2 linked regions of the Caenorhabditis elegans genome follow. The protein of the gene in region 2 purifies or fractionates together with the protein of the main gene of each other region. This does not show direct contact. Each region holds a gene or a part of one and is shown on either strand. Other genes may lie near its edges.

Region 1 (10,087 bases), on a different chromosome or scaffold from region 2:
ACTGAAACTAACCTTCAAATCCACAACGCACACGGTCACAAAGAAGATTGATAACAAAAAACAAGAAAACTGCTTTGAAAACATGGCGGGAAATTTAAATTTAAAAATTCTTCCGCATAAAATTCGTAATAATATTTTTTAAATTATTTATTTATAAATTGTTCTAATTATACAAAAAAAACCACGTCGCCTTTTCGTGGTTTTTTAAAATCAAAAGTTGAACAATCAGTTTCAAAATAATTCATTTCGGTACAATTTCATCGTCAAGAATGGCTGAAAAAAAGGAATCATCAGCTTCATCGAAGAAAAGTGAGAGCAGTGGAAATTCGAGTAGTGGAAGAGAAGATTTGGAAGGATCAGGCAATACTGGAGTTGTCATCAAACCGAGAAAGTCGAAGAAGAAGCAGAAAAAGGTATAGCACTTGGTTGAGTAGACACTAAATTGTTACTCCCATAGTGGGCAAACCGGGTAAAACCGACCTTCCGTTTTTGACCGGATTCTGGGGTTTTCGTATTCGGAGCCGTTTTTGGGTAGGCCATCCGGTTTCTCAAACTATTTCGCATATGATGCACAGGAGAACAGGAACTCGTAAAGCATTTAGGCACTGGGGTAGCCATGTAGGCTGTCATGCTTCAATTAGACACATATGTACACAGTAAAGACATATGTACACAGTAAGAGCATCTGGATTTTCCATTTTCAATTTCTCTCCTTGACTTTGCTCTTTTTACAACCTTAAGAATTATCATCACGATTAATTAATATCTAAGATCTTGGAATTGGAAAATGAGATTTTTCATCTTAAAGACCAAAACTAATTTTTAAAAATACATACATCATCTTTCAGGTTCCGAAAGTATCACCTGCATCACGAAAAGAAGACATTCCTGGATGTGCAACAGTCGAGAAAGTATCCATCAGATCAGGAAGCGAGATTTCTCAATCGGAATGGCTTGACAATCTGGTTCCAGGAACTTTAGCCAAGCCACAATCTCGATGGGAATCAATTACTGGATTTATTGATAACTACAAATATCCGATTATTTCCAGTGTTGTACTTGCTGGTGTTTTAACTTATTTTATTGTTAAAAAGGGAAAAGCTGGAGCAAAATGCCCATTCACTGGAAAGAAAGCTAATTGAAGAACTAGACGATTTTGAAATGCTATGAAGAGAATAAAATGTTTTATTTGATACTGAAACCAATTTTTGAGTTTTTTAACATTACTAACTAAATGAGAAATGTGAAGGAACATCAAAAGTTCGAAAATTATTTTGAGATAGATATTTCAAGAACAGTTATAATTGAGGAATTAGAAAAATGAGTAAATTCATTAAAACCATACAATGAAGTCCAAATATCTGTTTTCTCTTATTCCAATAGATGCAATTTGGCAATCTCCCTCTATGTCCATATAACTGGTACAGTCAATGTTTAAATCTTCTTTTTGATAATTGGATGGTCTTCTTCTGGGATTCCATGGTTTTGCATTCATTCCTTCTAGAACCAAATCAAAGTTCCAGTCTTCAGAAGCCAATATTTCCAGATGTTCCAGACGAGTTTTATTACCCTTCCAGTTGCTAATTAATGATCTTACAGCGTTAATAGCTGAATTCTCTTTCCAATATAATTTTATTGTTTCACAGTCAAGTTGAATCAATTCTTCAATTGGAATGCTTGGTAAACAGATTAATGAGAGATTGTTCACTTTTTTCATCTGTAATTTCCGAATTATTATAAACTAATATTCTAGTACAAACCTTTTCATGTATTTTTGAAACTTCGTCAAAAACTTTGAGATTATCACTGATGTCGTAATAATTCAAGATAGTGTCGATATTGTCCTGATTTCCAGATAAATAATCTCCAAATTCCAAACTTTTCAATTTACTCGGGAGTCTTGCCATGGTGTTATTTAGGAATACTCCAGTGAATCCCACCACATCATAGTGGAGATTTTTGATTTGAAATAAATCCCAAAAATGTTGAAATACGGCAATGATGTCTTCATCGAAGTTTGTTGGAATACAAATTATTCGACTTTCATCGTAATTTTTTGTCCTGGAAACAATTTTTTGAGAGAGATTTCAGAAATCACATGGAGTGGAAATTTCTTCCGTATTATCCAGACACGAAATTCTGCGATTTTTGTGCCAAACCACGGTAACGGTCTCGACACGACAAGTTTTGTTGAAAGCGAGAATGCATGCGCCTTTGAAGAGTACTGTACTATCAAGCTTCCGGTGCTGCGGGATTTTCATCGTTTTCGCATATTAGGCAATAGTTCTTACTGTTGCCTTTCAGTTTCTAAATAAATACATATATTTATATAGAAACGTTATAGAAATTAATTAATTGAAAATTCCGCAGAAACGAAAGTTTCAGGTTACAGTAATCTTTAAAGGCGCAAACATCTCGCGAGAAAACAAAACAAAATTTGTCGGGTCGAGACGGGGTACAGTATTTTTTAGTATTTTGCGTCAGAAAATAATTGTTTTCGAAAATATTAAAGTCACAAAAATTCTGCAGTGTTTTTATTGTGAAAAAATAGCCAGAATCCTCAGATGTTAAGCGAGGACCAACCTAATTGTAACTTGAATGAAATATATGTACATATATTATATGTCCCAACACTTACCATGCGTCATATCGGCTGCCCTTGACTTTTCGTGAACACGCAGAAATATCGACAACAGAATTGAAATCAAACTCTAATGATTTGGATTTTGAGTTTAGTTGAATACGTCGAAAATGAAAATGCAAGGAATCAATTTTTAAGCAGCAAGTTTTCATGTAAATTTCACATTTTTTCGAAGCAAGTGATAGTTCCAACCTGAATTCAAGGTGTTTGTCTTATTATATAAAGTATTAACTTACAAATCAATAAAGTCTATATGAAGAAGTACATTCTTCAAAGCAAGTGTAGGAAGTGATAATAAACGAAAAGGTGACATTTTTTTGAATAACTGGAAATACAAAATGGGGAGAAGAGATCTCGAGATGAACAGCATGCGGGGTCTACTTACTATTAGAAAACATCGATTGGTTTTCCCACAAGGTAAAAATATATGGTCTCGTTGCGAACGGGAATCTGGACTGTATAGTGGTGACCCTGCCCACTTCAGTCTACCCCTTCCAATTATTCTTATATCGTAACTTTGTGCAATTATGAGACTTCATACGATTTTCAGAAGAGAATGAACTGTGCTTCTAATTTAATCATAGTTCTTTAAAAAACAATTTTTTTCGCTTTCGTAGTCGGGAGGATTTCTTATTGATGCTCAGAGTGTTTCTTTCAATGTTGTAACATTTTTTGCAATATATGGGTTCATTTATCTTGATGAAAACATAACAAGAAATATAAAGATTCCTCTAGATCTTGTTGAAGGCGACAATGTCGACGGATTGGACGTGATCCTCGAAGTCTCCGGTGATCTTCTCGATGAGGTCATCAACCGAAACCTTGAGATCCTCGATAACAGTGATGATCTGGAGCTTCTTGATTCCTGAAAGTTTACATAAATTTTAATTGTGTGAATTTCAATCCACTAACCGTATCCAATTGGGATAAGCTTAGCTCCTCCCCAGACAAGTCCGTCCATCTCGATAGAACGAACGAGCTTCTCCATCTCTCCGAGGTCGGTCTCATCGTCCCATGGCTTTACATCAAGAATGACTGAAGATTTAGCAATTGGTCCAGCCTTCTTGGCCTTCTTCTCGGCGTAAGCGGCGAGACGCTCCTCAACGATCTTTGCCTTCTCGGCATCTTCCTCCTCATCGTCGGATCCGAAAAGATCGAAGTCATCTCCATCAGCAGCAGCGGCAGCTGGAGCTGATCCTCCGGCGGAAGCCCAGGTCTTGCGCTCAGCATCAGTGTAAGAAGCTACATTAGCGTACCAACGGGCAACATTTGGATAGGTGGAGGCGTTTGGGGCGGATCCGAGAGCGGCGAAAAGTTGGGCGTCCTCTCCAGACAAGACGAAGCTATAATTTTCAAATTATTTCAATGAATAGACTATCTGAAAAATTTACAAGAGTTGATTACACCTATTTTCTGCATTTTTTCCTAAAAATTGCATAACTTCAGAATTTAAAGACTAACCCAGTGGCAAAAGCCTGCTCGGCGAGAGTAGTGTTGAAAGCAGCAAGTCCAGCTGGGCTCTTGACGTCGGCAACCATCTTTTCAGGAGTGAAACACGAAGGAATGATGCTAAAAGTCCTACAAATAGGTTAGTGAATAAAATCGTTGCGAGACTCAAAGTCTGTCGAAACCCCATGCGCCTTCAAACGAGCATAGCGCCAGTGATCATTCAATGGCGTGTTTGCTGACCGGAGGCGCCCAAGTTTCGCGCTTTCATTTCTCCTCCCATTCATTTTCGGCATGCACGCCGTCTCTGCTGACCGATGCGTTATCATTTTCTTTTCGGTTCGCTGCGGAATCACTTGTTTTCGTTCCGAGGGGTTATTTACTGCAGAGAAAAGCTTTTTAATTGTTCCAAATTAAGTTTTAGGCCTGTGTTTATGAATATTATCCTTTCTTTTAATTTTTTTAAATAGGTTCTATTTCTTTCCCTTTGTCGGACAGGAATTTCTGTGAAAATCTTTCATTGTTCTGTAATTTACAGGAGAAACCATGAATTCTCTTCTTCGGTTGAGCCACTTGGCTGGACCTGCACATTATCGCGCACTTCACTCCTCTTCGTCCATCTGGGTATTCAAACCTAAGCATAATTATTATAAATCTTTTGTTTTCAGAGCAAAGTTGCAATCAGTAAATTCGAGCCGAAGTCGTACCTCCCGTACGAGAAACTATCTCAGACTGTGAAGATTGTGAAAGACAGGTGTGTAAAGTTCAATTTGTTTAGCTTGTCAAGTACAAAGTATCTTCACTGCTTTCTGTTCGTTATCATACAATTAATGATGTTTATGGTGAATAGTCATGTGCGCCACTGACATTACAACACATACAGTTCAGTTATAGGTTCTTTTATGTTATTTCTAACTCTCGAATAGTGAAAGCTCACCCAAATCGCAGTCACAAGCCAAGGGTCGCAGAGAGAAACAAACAGAGTTCCGTTGTAATAAGAAGATGGGTTAGAGCGTCATTGAGAGAACCAAGAAAACGTCGAATCTTTTCCATCTCTGTTCTCTGATTAATGTCAACATGTTGTGAGAGGGCGTTTTGACCATAATACAGTTTCATAAGTGTACATCACTATTCTTTTCAACTTTTGATGATGCAAAATCTAATTTCTGGTGTCATTAATTGTGATGTCACAATAGAAATTATGAAAATTATCTAGTTGAACGTTGCATAGAAATTCATGTGGACCACATTCTCTAGTCTCCAGACTGGTCGAACTTTGAAGCCGAGGTGATATTTGCCGTGTGACAGTACTTTGAACTCATGAAGGAAACATCGTTAAGTCTAACTAAAAACTTTAAAAATAGATTTTAGTTTTTCTACTGATAAAAACAAAAAATATATTGTTTCAGATTGAAACGTCCATTGACGCTTTCCGAAAAGATTCTCTATGGACATTTGGATCAACCAAAAACTCAAGATATTGAGAGAGGAGTTTCATACCTTCGTCTTCGTCCAGATCGTGTTGCTATGCAAGATGCTACCGCTCAAATGGCTATGCTCCAATTCATCAGCTCCGGACTTCCAAAGACAGCTGTTCCATCAACTATTCATTGCGATCATTTGATTGAAGCTCAAAAGGGTGGAGCCCAAGATTTGGCCCGTGCTAAGGTTTGTGATATTTGCGAAAAAATTATTTTACTTAAATTTTCTTCACCCTAAATATATTTCGATTTCTAGGACCTCAACAAAGAAGTCTTCAACTTCCTTGCTACTGCTGGAAGCAAATATGGAGTTGGATTCTGGAAGCCAGGATCTGGAATTATCCATCAAATCATTCTTGAGAACTACGCTTTCCCAGGACTTCTTCTCATCGGAACTGATTCTCACACACCTAACGGAGGAGGACTTGGAGGACTTTGTATTGGAGTTGGTGGAGCCGATGCTGTAGATGTTATGGCTGATATTCCATGGGAGCTCAAGTGCCCGAAGGTCATTGGAATCAAACTCACTGGAAAGCTCAACGGATGGACTTCTGCCAAGGACGTTATCTTGAAGGTTGCTGATATCCTCACTGTCAAAGGAGGAACTGGAGCTATTGTTGAGTATTTCGGCCCAGGAGTGGATTCTATTTCTGCAACTGGAATGGGAACCATCTGCAACATGGGAGCCGAAATCGGAGCTACGACATCTGTCTTCCCATACAACGAGAGCATGTACAAGTATCTGGAAGCTACTGGACGTAAAGAAATCGCCGAAGAAGCCAGAAAGTACAAAGATCTCCTCACTGCTGACGATGGAGCTAACTATGATCAAATCATCGAGATCAACCTCGACACTCTTACTCCACATGTCAACGGACCATTCACTCCAGATCTTGCCTCTTCCATCGACAAACTTGGAGAAAACGCCAAGAAGAACGGATGGCCACTCGATGTAAAGGTCTCACTTATCGGATCATGCACCAACTCTTCATACGAAGACATGACCCGTGCTGCTTCCATTGCCAAACAAGCTCTTGATAAGGGACTCAAGGCTAAGACCATTTTCACCATCACCCCAGGATCCGAGCAAGTCCGTGCCACTATTGAAAGAGACGGACTCTCCAAGATTTTCGCTGATTTCGGAGGAATGGTTCTCGCAAATGCCTGTGGACCATGTATTGGACAATGGGATCGTCAGGATGTGAAGAAGGGAGAAAAAAACACAATTGTCACATCATACAACCGTAACTTCACCGGAAGAAATGATGCGAACCCAGCCACTCACGGTTTCGTTACTTCTCCAGATATCACAACTGCTATGGCCATCTCCGGACGTCTTGACTTCAATCCACTTACTGATGAGCTCACCGCCGCTGATGGTTAGTAACATTTTGAATAGTTATATTTTTTCATTACTCAACCTCGTTTATCATTTCAGGAAGCAAATTCAAACTCCAGGCTCCAACTGGACTCGACCTTCCACCAAAGGGTTACGATCCAGGAGAGGACACATTCCAAGCCCCATCTGGAAGCGGACAGGTTGATGTATCTCCATCTTCTGATCGTCTTCAACTTTTGTCTCCATTCGACAAGTGGGATGGAAAGGACCTCGAAGATATGAAGATCCTCATCAAGGTTACCGGAAAATGTACTACTGATCACATTTCTGCTGCTGGACCATGGCTCAAATATCGTGGACATTTGGACAACATTTCGAATAATCTTTTCCTTACGGCTATCAATGCTGACAACGGAGAGATGAACAAGGTCAAGAACCAAGTTACTGGAGAATATGGAGCCGTTCCAGCCACTGCCCGCAAATACAAGGCTGATGGAGTTAGATGGGTTGCTATCGGAGACGAGAACTACGGAGAGGGTTCATCTCGCGAACATGCTGCTCTTGAGCCACGTCATCTTGGAGGAAGAGCTATCATCGTGAAATCCTTCGCCCGTATTCACGGTCAGTTAGTCTTCAAAATAAATAAAATTTACCTTGCTTATTTCCTCAACGCGCCATAACTTATTTTTTTCAGAGACGAACTTGAAGAAACAAGGAATGCTCCCACTCACATTTGCCAACCCAGCTGACTACGACAAAATCGATCCATCAGACAATGTTTCTATCGTCGGACTCTCCAGTTTTGCTCCAGGAAAGCCACTTACGGCTATTTTCAAGAAGACCAATGGATCAAAGGTGGAAGTGACCTTGAATCACACCTTCAACGAGCAACAAATCGAGTGGTTCAAGGCCGGATCTGCCCTCAACAGAATGAAGGAAGTATTCGCAAAGAGCAAATAAATGTTTCATTGGAAAACTATTTTCTCTTCAAAACCTGTAGTAAATACTCATTTTCAACAAACTGTAATGTAATGTATACTGAATTGAAGTATTTTGAAAATTCATTAGAGAAGTGAAAAACATTTTCTAAATACTTCAGTTCATTCCCAATTTTCCCATAGTAGTCATCACAACCTCCATGAGATTGTTTTTATGTATGAGTAGATATTGTTTTGTTTCGTTTTCGTTTTTTTGTAATTGATTCTTATTTCCATGAAAAGACACAACTATTTATTCTTGTTCATTTATTGATCATTTACGAAGACGGGCGAAGATACTGAGGGCCACCGTGACGATTCCAACGCCAAGAAGAGCCTTTAAAATAAACTGATTGGAGTATACTCAAATGAAAGCTAAATCCAAATTTACCGAGTTATCATAAGTGAATGCACAGATCTTTGATGCCAGAGTGTTTTGTGAAGAATGATCAGTTGTTGTGGTTTCCATTGGATGCGAAGGATCAACCGGTCCGGCTTTTCCACCATCACCATCACTCTTCAGAAGATCATTCAACCAATCATCCTGTGATTCTTCATCACCATTTCCAACAACTTCAACGTCAGAAATATCACTGACAACCACGTCACCAGCTCTATCTTTAATCTTCATTTTGCGAAGTTTCTTAATGCGTCGCTGTTTTGCCACCGCTTTTTTATAATCAGCAGATTTTTCGCTTCTCTTCGGTGCTTCTGACATTATCGAAGTGGATTCAGCTGCAAGTTAGAAAAAATTAGGAAAGAAAAATAAATCCAATAAATTCACCTTTTCAATTAGCTTGTATTGAGTGATAAAAAACGAAGAACTGAATATTTTATGATGAAGTAATTGAACCGAATATTATAAACTTTACGTAGGAAATATACTTTTTCGCGTGATTAATTTTTAAATGTTTGTTTTTATATTCTGCATCTAATCATTGGTGAATTGCAATCTCGAACTCATTCTAGGCTTGATATTTTATTTGACTACGGTACTTTTTAAAGGCACAGACAACATTCGTTCATTGCTATGTTTTCGTTGCGAGACTCGTCGGCCGAAACATTGATTTGATTGTTTGTTTTTTGCGTTTTCTTTGCTAGAAATTTATTGAATTTCAGTATTTATTTCATATTATTTTTAAAAATATTATAATGTTATCAATTTAATTATTTTTTCTAAAGTCGTGCACTTTTTGAAAGAATTTTCTCATGTTTCAATCAAGCCAAATGATCTTTTAAACACTTTTTGTGTTCTCTAATTCTTCTTCCTCCCCTTTTATTTTCCCGCCTTTTCATTTTAAGTTGTAAAGTGTGTTGTGTCCCGTTAGTCGTCAGTGTCTATTTGTTTGTTGCCGCAATCTACCACTCTCAAAAAACTTGACCCAGAATACATGCATTTTTGATTTTATTTAAGATTTGGTAAATAGTTCGCTTGTCATGCGCCTTCCAAAATATTTTGTTCGCCATTAAAAGTTTGAAACATTCCAAAAAGAAATGCCCCGAACCAGGATCGAACTGGTGACCTTACGATCTTCAGTCGTACGCTCTCCCAACTGAGCTATCGAGGCACATTTTTCCCCGCTTCAATTGGCTGTGAAGTAAATTTCGCTTTTAGAAATAAGGAAAAACTGATAAGATATACTGTATACTTGCTTACAATGGAAAACGCTTTTTGTATCAGAATGTCGTTAGGAACTCAAATTAGTCCCACTCATTCGAAAAATTCCCACAAAAATTTAATACTGCTCCCGGAGAGTTTTGAACTTTGAAAAATCATTTGAAAACTTTGCCACAATTTTTCAACCTAACACATACACACATTTTTGTACGGTGAATTCGACGAGTAAACAAGTAACCTTGGCGAGTGCCGGCGCCTTTATTTTCTTGTCTAACCATCTGCATCTCTTCATTCTTTTTCACTGAACTCTCTTATTTTTTCATGATATTTCATCTGCTCGCCAATAAAAAAGGCGATTCTCAGTTGTTTGCTTCCTCTCTTTCTTTCTACCCATGCCAACGAGTTTTGTTTTCTTTTTGATTTTTTAAATTTTTTTGCGATAGGAAATAAGATGATAGTAAATACTGAAAGGTTTATTAGTCGACTGTTGTTTCCCGCTGATGAATAAGGAAATTAAAATTTTTTTTGTTGAAAAATTGTGTTTTTTCGAACAAATGTCGAGATTTTGTTAGAACGTTAAATAAG
Region 2 (9,957 bases):
TTTCAGACAACCCCCACCAGGATTTCCTATAATGACGACACCGGCAACGCAACCAGAAATTTCTATACCTCGTTCTGGAGAAAATAAAAGCTCTCGGTCACCTTCGTGGGCGCGTGAAGCAAGACGTTCTCGTTCCAGGAGCCGCGATAGACGCGGAGGTAGAAGCAGAAGCAGATCACCATCTAGACGTCGAACTAGTCGTGATCGCCGAGATGACCGCAGCAGCCGTCGTAGAAGAGGTCCTATTATCAACCAACTGAGCTGAAATTTGGCTGAATTTATACTCCTATTTAGTTCTGGAGATTAATTCTCGATGAGATTGTAGATCGAAGTCACTCGCGAAGCCGTTCACCACCTTCGTCTGCAAATGGTTCCTCTCATTGGTCGTCGTCAAACCGCCACTCCAGACGACGACGCTCCAGAAGCTACAGCAGAGAAAGGGTAGGTGAAAAAATAGAGAAAGGGTAGTCATTTATGGTGTTTACTTGTGAGTATGGTTTTGTCTATGGGCATATGAAATCTGTTCTCCAAAATATTCTAAATTCTTGAAAATTGCGCTCTTAAGATTTCGTAATTTGTTGATATCCGTGAGGTTTGACAAGCTTGATAAAAATTGTTTGTCGAAAAATTTGAATTTATCCATTTGAACACTTTTAAATTTCAGGTCGATGGCGATGTTACCTTCTTTCAAAAGGTTTTCAATCAGTTACACAATATGATACCTCAAATTAAAACTAGTAAAATATTGAAGTAATTAAGTTTTTTTTCAGGATAGAAACTCGCGTCGCGATGATCGCCGCAGCAATCTTTCAAATAATGATCGATATTCGGATTGGAATCCTGGAGTTCCATCAAATAAACTCGCAATTTTGAATATGCCAAATGATGTGGACAACACGAAGGTATAGTTTTCTCGGCTGAAATTTCAGAAAAAAAAAAAGATTTTTCAGATAACACTTTCATTGGGAAAATGTGGATACCTTCCTCAAGACGTGCGCACCATGACAAAATTCGATAAAAATACAAAACAAATTCGTACTTTTGCTTTTGTTGAGTTCTCTAATCGAGAAACTGCAGAACAGTGGATGACGGATTACGAGGTACAAAACGGTTTTCAGTTGAATTATATGCAAAATCCGCTTTTCAGGGATGGTTGACTCTGGATGACGGAAGAACTCTGGCTGTAGAATATGCGAAGGGAGATCCTGCTGCTGGATCCGGAAACAAAGGGGATGATTGGATTTGTGCTCATGTACGCGAGAAAATTGAGCTATTATCAAAATATGAACAAATTTCAGTGCTCTATGAACAATTTTGTAAAGCGTCAAACCTGCTTCAAGTGTGAAATTTCAAAGGATCAGTCAATGGAGCTTGAGAAACTCGGAGCACATATGGTCGGAATGACACCTTGCGACAGTCCGTGAAATTTCTTTAGTTGTCATACACATTCAAATTGATTTTTCAGCTCTTCTAATTCGTGGTCTTCCTGATGGTATCAATAATAGTCTTATTTTTGATAGTCTCGGTGCTCTGGTTTGTCTCAGTTCGATTAGCATGATCAAATTGTCGGAATCCAAAAGGTTTGCGTACTTGCAAATGAAAAGTGCGGATGAAGCAAAAATGTTACTCAATTTGACATATAAATCGCCCATTCGAATTAAGGATAAAGATGGTATGTTTTTTGCTGATTTCAAGATTTTACCATATTTTTTCAGTTCAAGTTTCCTGGTGTCGTGATTCAATGTCAAAACTCATTCAACAACAAATGACCATGCTAACCGCGGGACCTGGAAAGAATTCTGTGGCTACCGGAAGTCTGGCTCAAGGAAACAGTGAGTTTGATGGGAGAGAATATATTAAATTTTATAATTTTTTAGTGACTGGAGCTGAAATTGCTGCAGCTGCCCTTTCTAAAGCAAATGCTGTGCGCCAAGCTAGTCAACAAGTTGGTCAAATTGTAAGTTACATTTCTAATAGAAAATTCTAAAACTCTATTTCAGATGACTGGATTGCCTGCACCTGCTGCTAATATGATTCCTCCAAACTTCAGTGTTCCACCACCAAATTTGTCTGTTCCACCTCCAATGCAAGCCACTCAACCGGAACATCAAAATGGAGTCATTGGAATGACCCAGACTCCGAAAGGACTTTTGCCAAGATACTGTATGGAAAAGCTCAAATATTAATTTTCAATTATTATTAACATTTCAGTACCACCCAATCCGCTTACATTCGCTCATGATCCGAATCTTGGGTATTACGTAGATCCAATCACAAAATTCTGTTACGATTCAGCAACTGGTTATTATTTCAATAATGCAACTTCACAATGGTGTAATTGGGATCTTACTCATCATACTTATTTCCCAGTTGAAACCCCAGCTGTAATCAATTCAGCTGACCCCGAAGAGGAAAAGATGAAGAAAAACGAAGAAGGGCCAAAAACAGCTCAGGATTTAGTGAAAGATATGGCAAAATGGGCTAAGAGACAAGAAAAAGACAAAAAGAAAGTTCAAATTTCTATAAAAGGAAAAGAGACGAAAGGAATTGAATTGAAAAATGTATTTTCTAATGGTAATGGCCTTTATTTTAACTATTTTCTTTTTATCAATAACATTTTCAGAGAAACAGAAAAGAATAGCACAGACTGCAGCACTTTTTGATGATGACGAAGAAGAGGATCAAGAGGAAGAAGTTCGGGGTCGTCGTTCTGAAGAACCGTCTACTTCATCCTCATTTTCATCTGTTCCACTTGCTCCTCGGAAATCCACTCTTCAAGATGTTAGAGATGCTATGGAAAGAGCACTTTACGATGAAACGAAGAAAACATGTATGCTCTGCAAACGAGCATTCTCTGATGTTGAAGTACTTCGGAAACATGTTGAAAAAAGTGATTTGCATAGAGTATGTTTAAAAGTTATTTCCTTGTTCTTAGACAGGAATCTTAGTTAAAGTTTTTTTAGAACAATTTGGAAGCGAAGCGAGCCGAATGGGGACGAGAAACAGCTGCTAAATTACAAGAAGAAGAAGAAGATGCTTCAGCTCCAGATCTCCCTAAGATCGTTTACAGGGACAGAGCCAAAGAACGTCGTCGTCAGTTCGGGATTGATTCCACTGGTTATGCATTCGATGTGATGGGTGGGCCGCCAGGACCCACATCGGTGAGACATGAAGAGACCATCCGAAAAGTTAGTGAGGAAGCTTCGAAGCGCCCATTAGACGAATCAAACATCGGAAATAGACTGCTGAAAAGTATGGGCTGGAAAGAAGGACAAGGAGTTGGAAAGCATGCACAAGGTAAATCTACATTGCTTACAAGCTTGATATTATGGTTTTTCTCAGGTATTGTTAACCCGATTGAAGCTGAACGATTTGTTCAAGGAGCAGGTTTGGGTGCTGCTGGATCCAAAATGAGACATGGTGCAGAAGCGAGTCACAAAGAGAAGACGCGGCAAGCACTCTACAGTCGTTATCACGACGCTTAAGTTCCTAAAGTTTATGTTTCGCCTTCAGTGTACTATTTGTTTTCCGTTAAATAAAATAAAATCTAATAGCCTACGAATTAGTTTTTCTTCACAATAAGAACATTTTTTCAACAACTGGATGAACTCATCCACTCTAATACGACAAAGAGACCACTAATCAAATCAGGTTTAACACCATTAGACGATTCATCCAGGAATGACATCAAGTCTCGATATATCTGGAAATTGATCAGCTATGTAAAAAGAACACATTTTGGCAGATTAAATATTTATTATCCACCACAACAATAACAATTAAACACAGGGAATATTTACTTTCCCTTGTTCTTTCCTTGATCCTCAACGGTGACGTTTGGAAGGTTGAATCCCTGAAATGACGAGGATTTTATTTTAAATATTTTCCGTCCGGTAACGCCTCGACATACCGAACTGAAACACTCGAACGAGCGTTTTGGATAGGGAAAGCCTGAAAACCGGCAAAGCAGCTTTCAGGACTCCCATAACTGAATCTTAATTTTTTGAAAACTTACAGCGGCCTTGAGCATGTCGCTGGTATCAGTGTCAACCTTGATGGAGGTGAGTTGAGATGGATCAACAGTGGAGATCTCTGGCATGTAGTTGTCTCTGCGCTCACGCTCCTCTTCTTGAAGCTTGATGGAGATACCTCTGACTGGTCCTCTCTCGATACGTCTCATCAAGTGAGTGATGTATCTGGAATGGAGAAATTGAATGAAAAAAAATTATGAATTGTGAGTTACCCAGCGATCTTGTTTCTGAGTGGCTTGCTTCCGATGATGGCAACCTCGTCACAGACGCGCTTGTTGTTATGGAAGTCATTGGTCATGCGAGTGTAGTACTTCTCGATGAGGACACGGGAAGCCTTCTTGACGGTCTTGGTACGAACACGACTCATGTTTAACCGAAGTTCTGGAAAAGTTAATTTTTTAAATGTAAAACGACATTACTATACAGATAAAAACGAAGTACGAAGAAGCGCAACGTAATAGATGAACAGGTCGAATGAGAAAAAAATTAATTGATATAAATTGACTTTTTGTTCAACAGAAAAACGAAATTCCAGCTAAAAACTCGAAAAAGTTTAGGATTGATGTAGAAAACAGAAGAGGAGGCTGTGGTGGAATACGGTAACACTTGTTTCGCGTGTGTGTTTGCCGCTTTGAGACCACACGCCGTAAATTATCGCGCCTTTAATTTCTCTTCCAATTCTTTTGCAAAGTTTTGAGATTTGCCTTGTGCACAATTGTGAACTGGTTGGTGAATTTTTCAGGAAGTTAGAAAAAATTGGGAAAGATTAAAAAAGATTCCTCGTGTTAAAATGAAAAAATAGCCGAAGGAACAATTATGTCGTAAAATTCCGAAATAAGATATATGATTGAACAAAAAATTGAATAAGATGCGTTTATTTTAGAAGAAAAACAGTCATCAGCTATGGATTATTCATTGACGGTTGAGTACACTGCTCGATTTTCTTGCGGCATTTTTGAATTGAGGCAATAGGATGATGGCGCTGAAAATCGAAATATTGTTTTTAAAATGCACGGAAAAACTCACATCATAGTGTAAAACGATATTATTGATTAGATTAAATGTAATCGACGTCAAAGCTGTCTTCTGCTGAATCTGATCCGGATCCTTTGGTGGAACAATGGATGTAGTACTTGGTGTTTCGGAAGCCGTAATTTCTTTAATGCCTCTTGCTCTTTCATCCAGTCCATCTCGTTTCATAGCAAACCGTTTAATCGCATCTGAAGAAGGTCGAGGATTTTGATTGAAAACTGACAGTTTATGTTACCTTCACTCAAATCGAACAAATTTTTAACAGTGTTATAGGTTACTGTATCCTGAGTAACATACTCACTATTAGACGCTAACTTCTCAACTGTAGCGAGTGGATCGAATTGATGGCTGAAAGATGATTAATTGAGAAACGACAATTAAAAAAATAAACTTACTTTTCTGGTAAAGCTGGACCTCTAGGCATTGCACACGACATATAATCCTCCACATAATCCAGATATTTCCTTTCATCCATTTCCAAATTATCTTCTGCAAGAGCAGCTGCCAATTCTGGGTTTGTGATTATTACTCCGTCCTCATCCTTTTCACATTCACTAGGCGGCTTGTCAGTCACCCATACAGGCTCTCCATTTGGTTTGAAGATTTCCAAATCAAGGACTGTTTTTGGCTTTTTCTGAGTCTTTTTCCGAAGAGATCTTGCAGAAACATTTAGTTGACTCGATTCGGGCATGACTTCTATACGCTGAAATACAATTTGATATTTAATTACATATATTCACAAGTTTTAAATTACATACCCTATCATCTGCTTTCTTCCGCGACTTATGTGACTCTTGAATATGCTTGAAAAAATGTTTGGCCAAATCTTTGTTTAACTTTTGTTTGTTTTTTTCTTCTTCTGGTGGCTCTTTTGATCCATCCGAATTTAGATCTACCTGCTTCTTACCAGATTCCGTTGAAGACTTTTTCTGCTCCGCTTTCGGCGCTTCGTTTTCGCCTGATGTCTGGCAATTTTATAAATATAAAAACATGAAAAAATAGATGATTGGCTCACTTTTCCTTCAAGTGATGCTGATAGGGAGCTCTTCTTTTTGCGGTGTGTAGTCTTAGGCTGCTCATGTTCTTTTTTTTCGATTGATTTCTCCTGAAATTAAACATAATTAATTTCATAATCTCTGTTCACATCATGTTACTTTTCTACGAGTGGCTTTCCCTTCCTTCACTGGTACATTAGGAGACATGGCAACAGGATCTTTTATCAGATTTGCCTGGAGCAGAACTGGTAAAACCACGACAGGCGGAGCAATTACTGGAGGAGGAGGAGTCACCAGACCACCACTTGAAGATTTTGAGGGAATACTAGAAGTACGCTTTTGACCAGCTCTGCAAAATTTCAATACAAAAATTAAAAAACATTTCAGAAACTTACTGTGTTTTTCCATCTCTTCGTCTTTTTTTGTCTTCACTTCGACGGACTGGAGGATTGACAGAAGTCATGATAACGAATTAGAATTTTGAAAAAATAATAACGTAATGCGAAATGAATTATTCAAAAGATGATTACTTCTTTTACGGATTTGGGTTTTTTTCTCTCGGAAATAAATTTCACGTGTTTCTGAACTTTTAACTAATTATACCTAACAAGGAAAGGAAGCCAATCTAGTCCCGGACTTTAAATTGAGACGTATGTCATTTGGAAGCTTATGTTTAGACTAGATCACCACAAAAATTTCAGCGGCGGAACTCAACTCTGAACCCCTGAAATCGCTATCTGAAAATTTTTCTCTGCGCCCTCCTAGTTTTCAATACTATTTCGTACTTATTCATTTTACTTACTCAGACAAACGCTTAGTAGCTTAATTAGATTTCAACCATATTAAACGAGATTTCAACCATATTTGTTTAGAAAATCCATATTGCATTAAATTTGCTCCATAGTAGATTAGATTAGAAATCCATGTTAGATTAGATTTCCTCCATATTTCATTAGAAAACAAATCTAATCCAATATGGTCGAAATCTAATCCAATATGGCACGATCTCAGCCATATTTGATTAGATTTCGACCATATTGGATTAGAAATCTCACGAGAAATGGGCGTATTAAAATAAATAAATAAATAAGAAGAAAACGGAAAGTGCAAACGCGTAGGGCTTAAAATTTTTTAAATTAAAATTGAAGACCTTTAAAAAGTTTTAAAATAAAATTATGATTTGAAAATAAGAATTATCTCCTGCAAATAATAATCTAAAGATGATGTCCGCTGACTGACTTTGACGAATCTCCGAAAAGTCTCCAACTGGTAATGTTTTTTTCAGAAACACTTTTTTTTTTCAAAATCCGGCAAGAAATTTCACGGCTACAACTGTGACAACTTCGATGGTTACAAACAACGAAATAACATATTCTATTAATTTAAATTAACTCCTACAAACCATTACTTTTTTCGGTATAATTTGTGGAAAAATTATATCATTTCACACAAATGATACTAGAGCTCTTGCTGCGAAAAGCGGAAACAGTCAATACCGTACTTTTAAAGTTTTCATGAATTTTGTATTTTACGTCTGTTTTGTGCCAACCCGCAGACCATAGTTAAATATAATTACTTTTCCTAGCATTTACATTTTGATACAAAATACTTTAATTCACACTTCCAGCAACCAAAAAGTATGATTTAACGATTTTTTTTTTTAGAAAAAACTCTTTTCCAAATTTTCTGAGACTAAAAAAATCTTTGTTCTCTTCTATTGGTTAGAGAGAGGAGAGGCTAAGATTAACGAAAGCGGTTAACAAACTTTTTCAAATGAAAAACCTTGATATCAAGCCGTTCAAGACTTCAAAATACATTCCCTCTACTCAGTTCATCTAATTTTCCTTAACTTATCGAAGAAACAACGCGCGCCACCACCACCACACAGGTGATTCGCGTTTCATGCGTGACGCTTTGAGGCGCGTATGAGGCGCGTATTGGACGCGTAGCGAAAAGCGAGCCTCGGACGCATGTGTGAAGCATGCGTGACGCACGAGAGGCGAAAGTGCCTCCCTTTTCGCCACGCATGCATGTAGCATGCGTGAAACACGATTGGCGAAAAAGAAGGAACAATAATCGATACAAATATTTTAGGCAATTTATTTTATTTTTCGCAGTTTATTTTGTAATTCCCCTGTTTTTCATTGTTTTTCCGTTGTGAAAAGTCACGATATTTATCTGGAGTGAACCTAAAAACGAATTTTTGCTGAAAAAAACGATAATTCATTCCAATTCCGTTCAATGTTCTGTTTTAAATTGTTACTGAAGAAATTAAGGTTTCCACCTTCTCTATCTTCGGAAAATTTTCCGCTGAGTTTTTGTGATTAGATAATTTGAAAGTTTTTTGCTTGAAATTTATTGTATAAAATTCGAATTTAAATCTCGCGCGGAAAGATTTTCATTCTCCGCCGTGTACTTCTCTCGGACAACTCGTGTAATCCTCTCGGACGATTAATTAATTAACATTTCGATATTCATCGATTTTGAATTTTATTCATTTTTTGAAGTGATTTTGCTAGATTTTTTAGAATTTTTGTCTTGAAACATATATTTCGACGTCTGTAAAAACATTGATTTACTGACTGTAACATTTAAAAATAGTCGAAACTTCAGTTGTTTTGCCGATGACTCAGGAAACAGCTTTCGCGTCTAGTTCTAAAGTACGGTATTTTGTTCAGTTTCCCGTTTTGCACTGATAAAACAGTTTAATCATGTTTTAATCTTTCAAATTTTAATAGAAAATTACGCGTAATCCTGTTTAATATATCGTCGGGAGAAAAACCGAGTGCCCCCTTTTAAGTGAAATTTCAAAATGTTGCGAAATTACGATATATCTTTTATGAAAACTTTCATCATGCTTTTGAACATTTATTTGATTGAACTTTACGCCTCCTCGTAATTGCATTTTTTTTACTTTGTTGATTCTTACTCAAAATTTATATTTCAACAAGAACCGCTGGAAAAGCTCAAACGCGCATCAGTTACAAGAATGATTTGACTCTCAACAATACTCAGCTTTTACAACAATTCTTCAAGTAGGATCCCGAACAACTACTGACTCTCGGAGTTTGGCTGAAGGCCCTGGCAAGGCGATGTGGAGTTGAAGATGTATCAAATGGATCCCTAACTTCATATGCTTGGATTGTGATGCTTATTCACTATCTTCAACAAGTCGAACTGACTCTCGTGTTGACAAATGATCCGTTTGAGGCGGATCATTATTTGGCACAAAGAGTGGATCTGTCAGGTAAGTTATTAGAAACCTTGTTCATTCCATCGCTCTTCATATTGCAGTATACGAATACATTCAATCGTGTATGGAACACTCGAAGAAAGTATTCACGGATCGCCGCATGCGTTCAGAGTCATCTCCCACCACCCATCTCCAACCACACCGGATCATGGTGCTTTCGAGGAATCGCTACGAGTCAATTGGATTACGTGGTAAATTTTTTAAAAATCAAAAAAAATGCTATTCGAAAAATTGTAACCATAAAAAAATTTCCGAGGCTTTTCTTGCAAAATCTGTCACAAATCTAGCATACCAATATTGAATTCGAGGTTTTAAACATTGCCTTCGAATTTGTGTTTTTCTTCTACTTTTGAAATTGCTCCATCTCTAAAAATTATTAACACTTTTTAAAACTATTTTTTCCCTTTTTCCGTTTCAAATAAATTTTTTTCGATTTTCGATTTTTCTATTTTCACTGAAAAAACATCGAAAAATCGAAATAATATGAAAGCAACGAATTTTACCAGAAATTGCACAGAAACAACTAAGTAAACATGAGACTATAATATTTGATAAAAATTTTCATAATTTTTTTCAACAACTTCAAATATTGATTTATAGAAAAGTGCAAAACTTGTTGTTACTCCATGTTCAGAACACGATTAGT

Evidence for each region. Proteins that work in one complex are often made in the same cells at the same time.
Region 1: the proteins of rps-17 (region 2) and eef-1B.1 fractionate together in Caenorhabditis elegans (co-fractionation; one large-scale study listed by BioGRID). This does not show direct contact.

Annotation. Positions count from the first base shown.
Region 1 is NC_003281.10:7,969,092-7,979,178, forward strand, and holds eef-1B.1 (putative elongation factor 1-beta/1-delta 1), read right to left. Parts: upstream 4,296-10,087; 5' UTR 4,180-4,295; coding exon 4,103-4,179; intron 3,985-4,102; coding exon 3,554-3,984; intron 3,507-3,553; coding exon 3,373-3,506; 3' UTR 3,291-3,372; downstream 1-3,290. Other genes in the region: F54H12.8 (Envelope glycoprotein B), read right to left, coding at 13-84; F54H12.7 (ADP-ribosylation factor-like protein 6-interacting protein 4), read left to right, coding at 270-413, 849-1,142; F54H12.5 (uncharacterized protein), read right to left, coding at 1,334-1,717, 1,761-2,061, 2,639-2,833, 2,878-3,011; aco-2 (putative aconitate hydratase, mitochondrial), read left to right, coding at 4,634-4,711, 4,756-4,841, 5,497-5,755, 5,825-6,947, 7,007-7,528, 7,602-7,867; C06G4.4 (uncharacterized protein), read right to left, coding at 8,159-8,221, 8,276-8,602. UniProt on the Caenorhabditis elegans protein: EF-1-beta and EF-1-delta stimulate the exchange of GDP bound to EF-1-alpha to GTP.
Region 2 is NC_003279.8:6,216,353-6,226,309, forward strand, and holds rps-17 (Small ribosomal subunit protein eS17), read right to left. Parts: upstream 4,413-9,957; 5' UTR 4,399-4,412; coding exon 4,244-4,398; intron 4,197-4,243; coding exon 4,016-4,196; intron 3,854-4,015; coding exon 3,797-3,853; 3' UTR 3,741-3,796; downstream 1-3,740. Other genes in the region: rbm-5 (RNA-binding protein 5), read left to right, coding at 7-239, 326-441, 771-902, 951-1,100, 1,148-1,252, 1,299-1,416, 1,466-1,672, 1,716-1,832 and 6 more; T08B2.11 (HUN domain-containing protein), read right to left, coding at 4,933-5,013, 5,058-5,251, 5,299-5,411, 5,459-5,766, 5,822-6,028, 6,079-6,168, 6,218-6,407, 6,454-6,521; T08B2.4 (PINc domain-containing protein), read left to right, coding at 9,206-9,305, 9,353-9,612.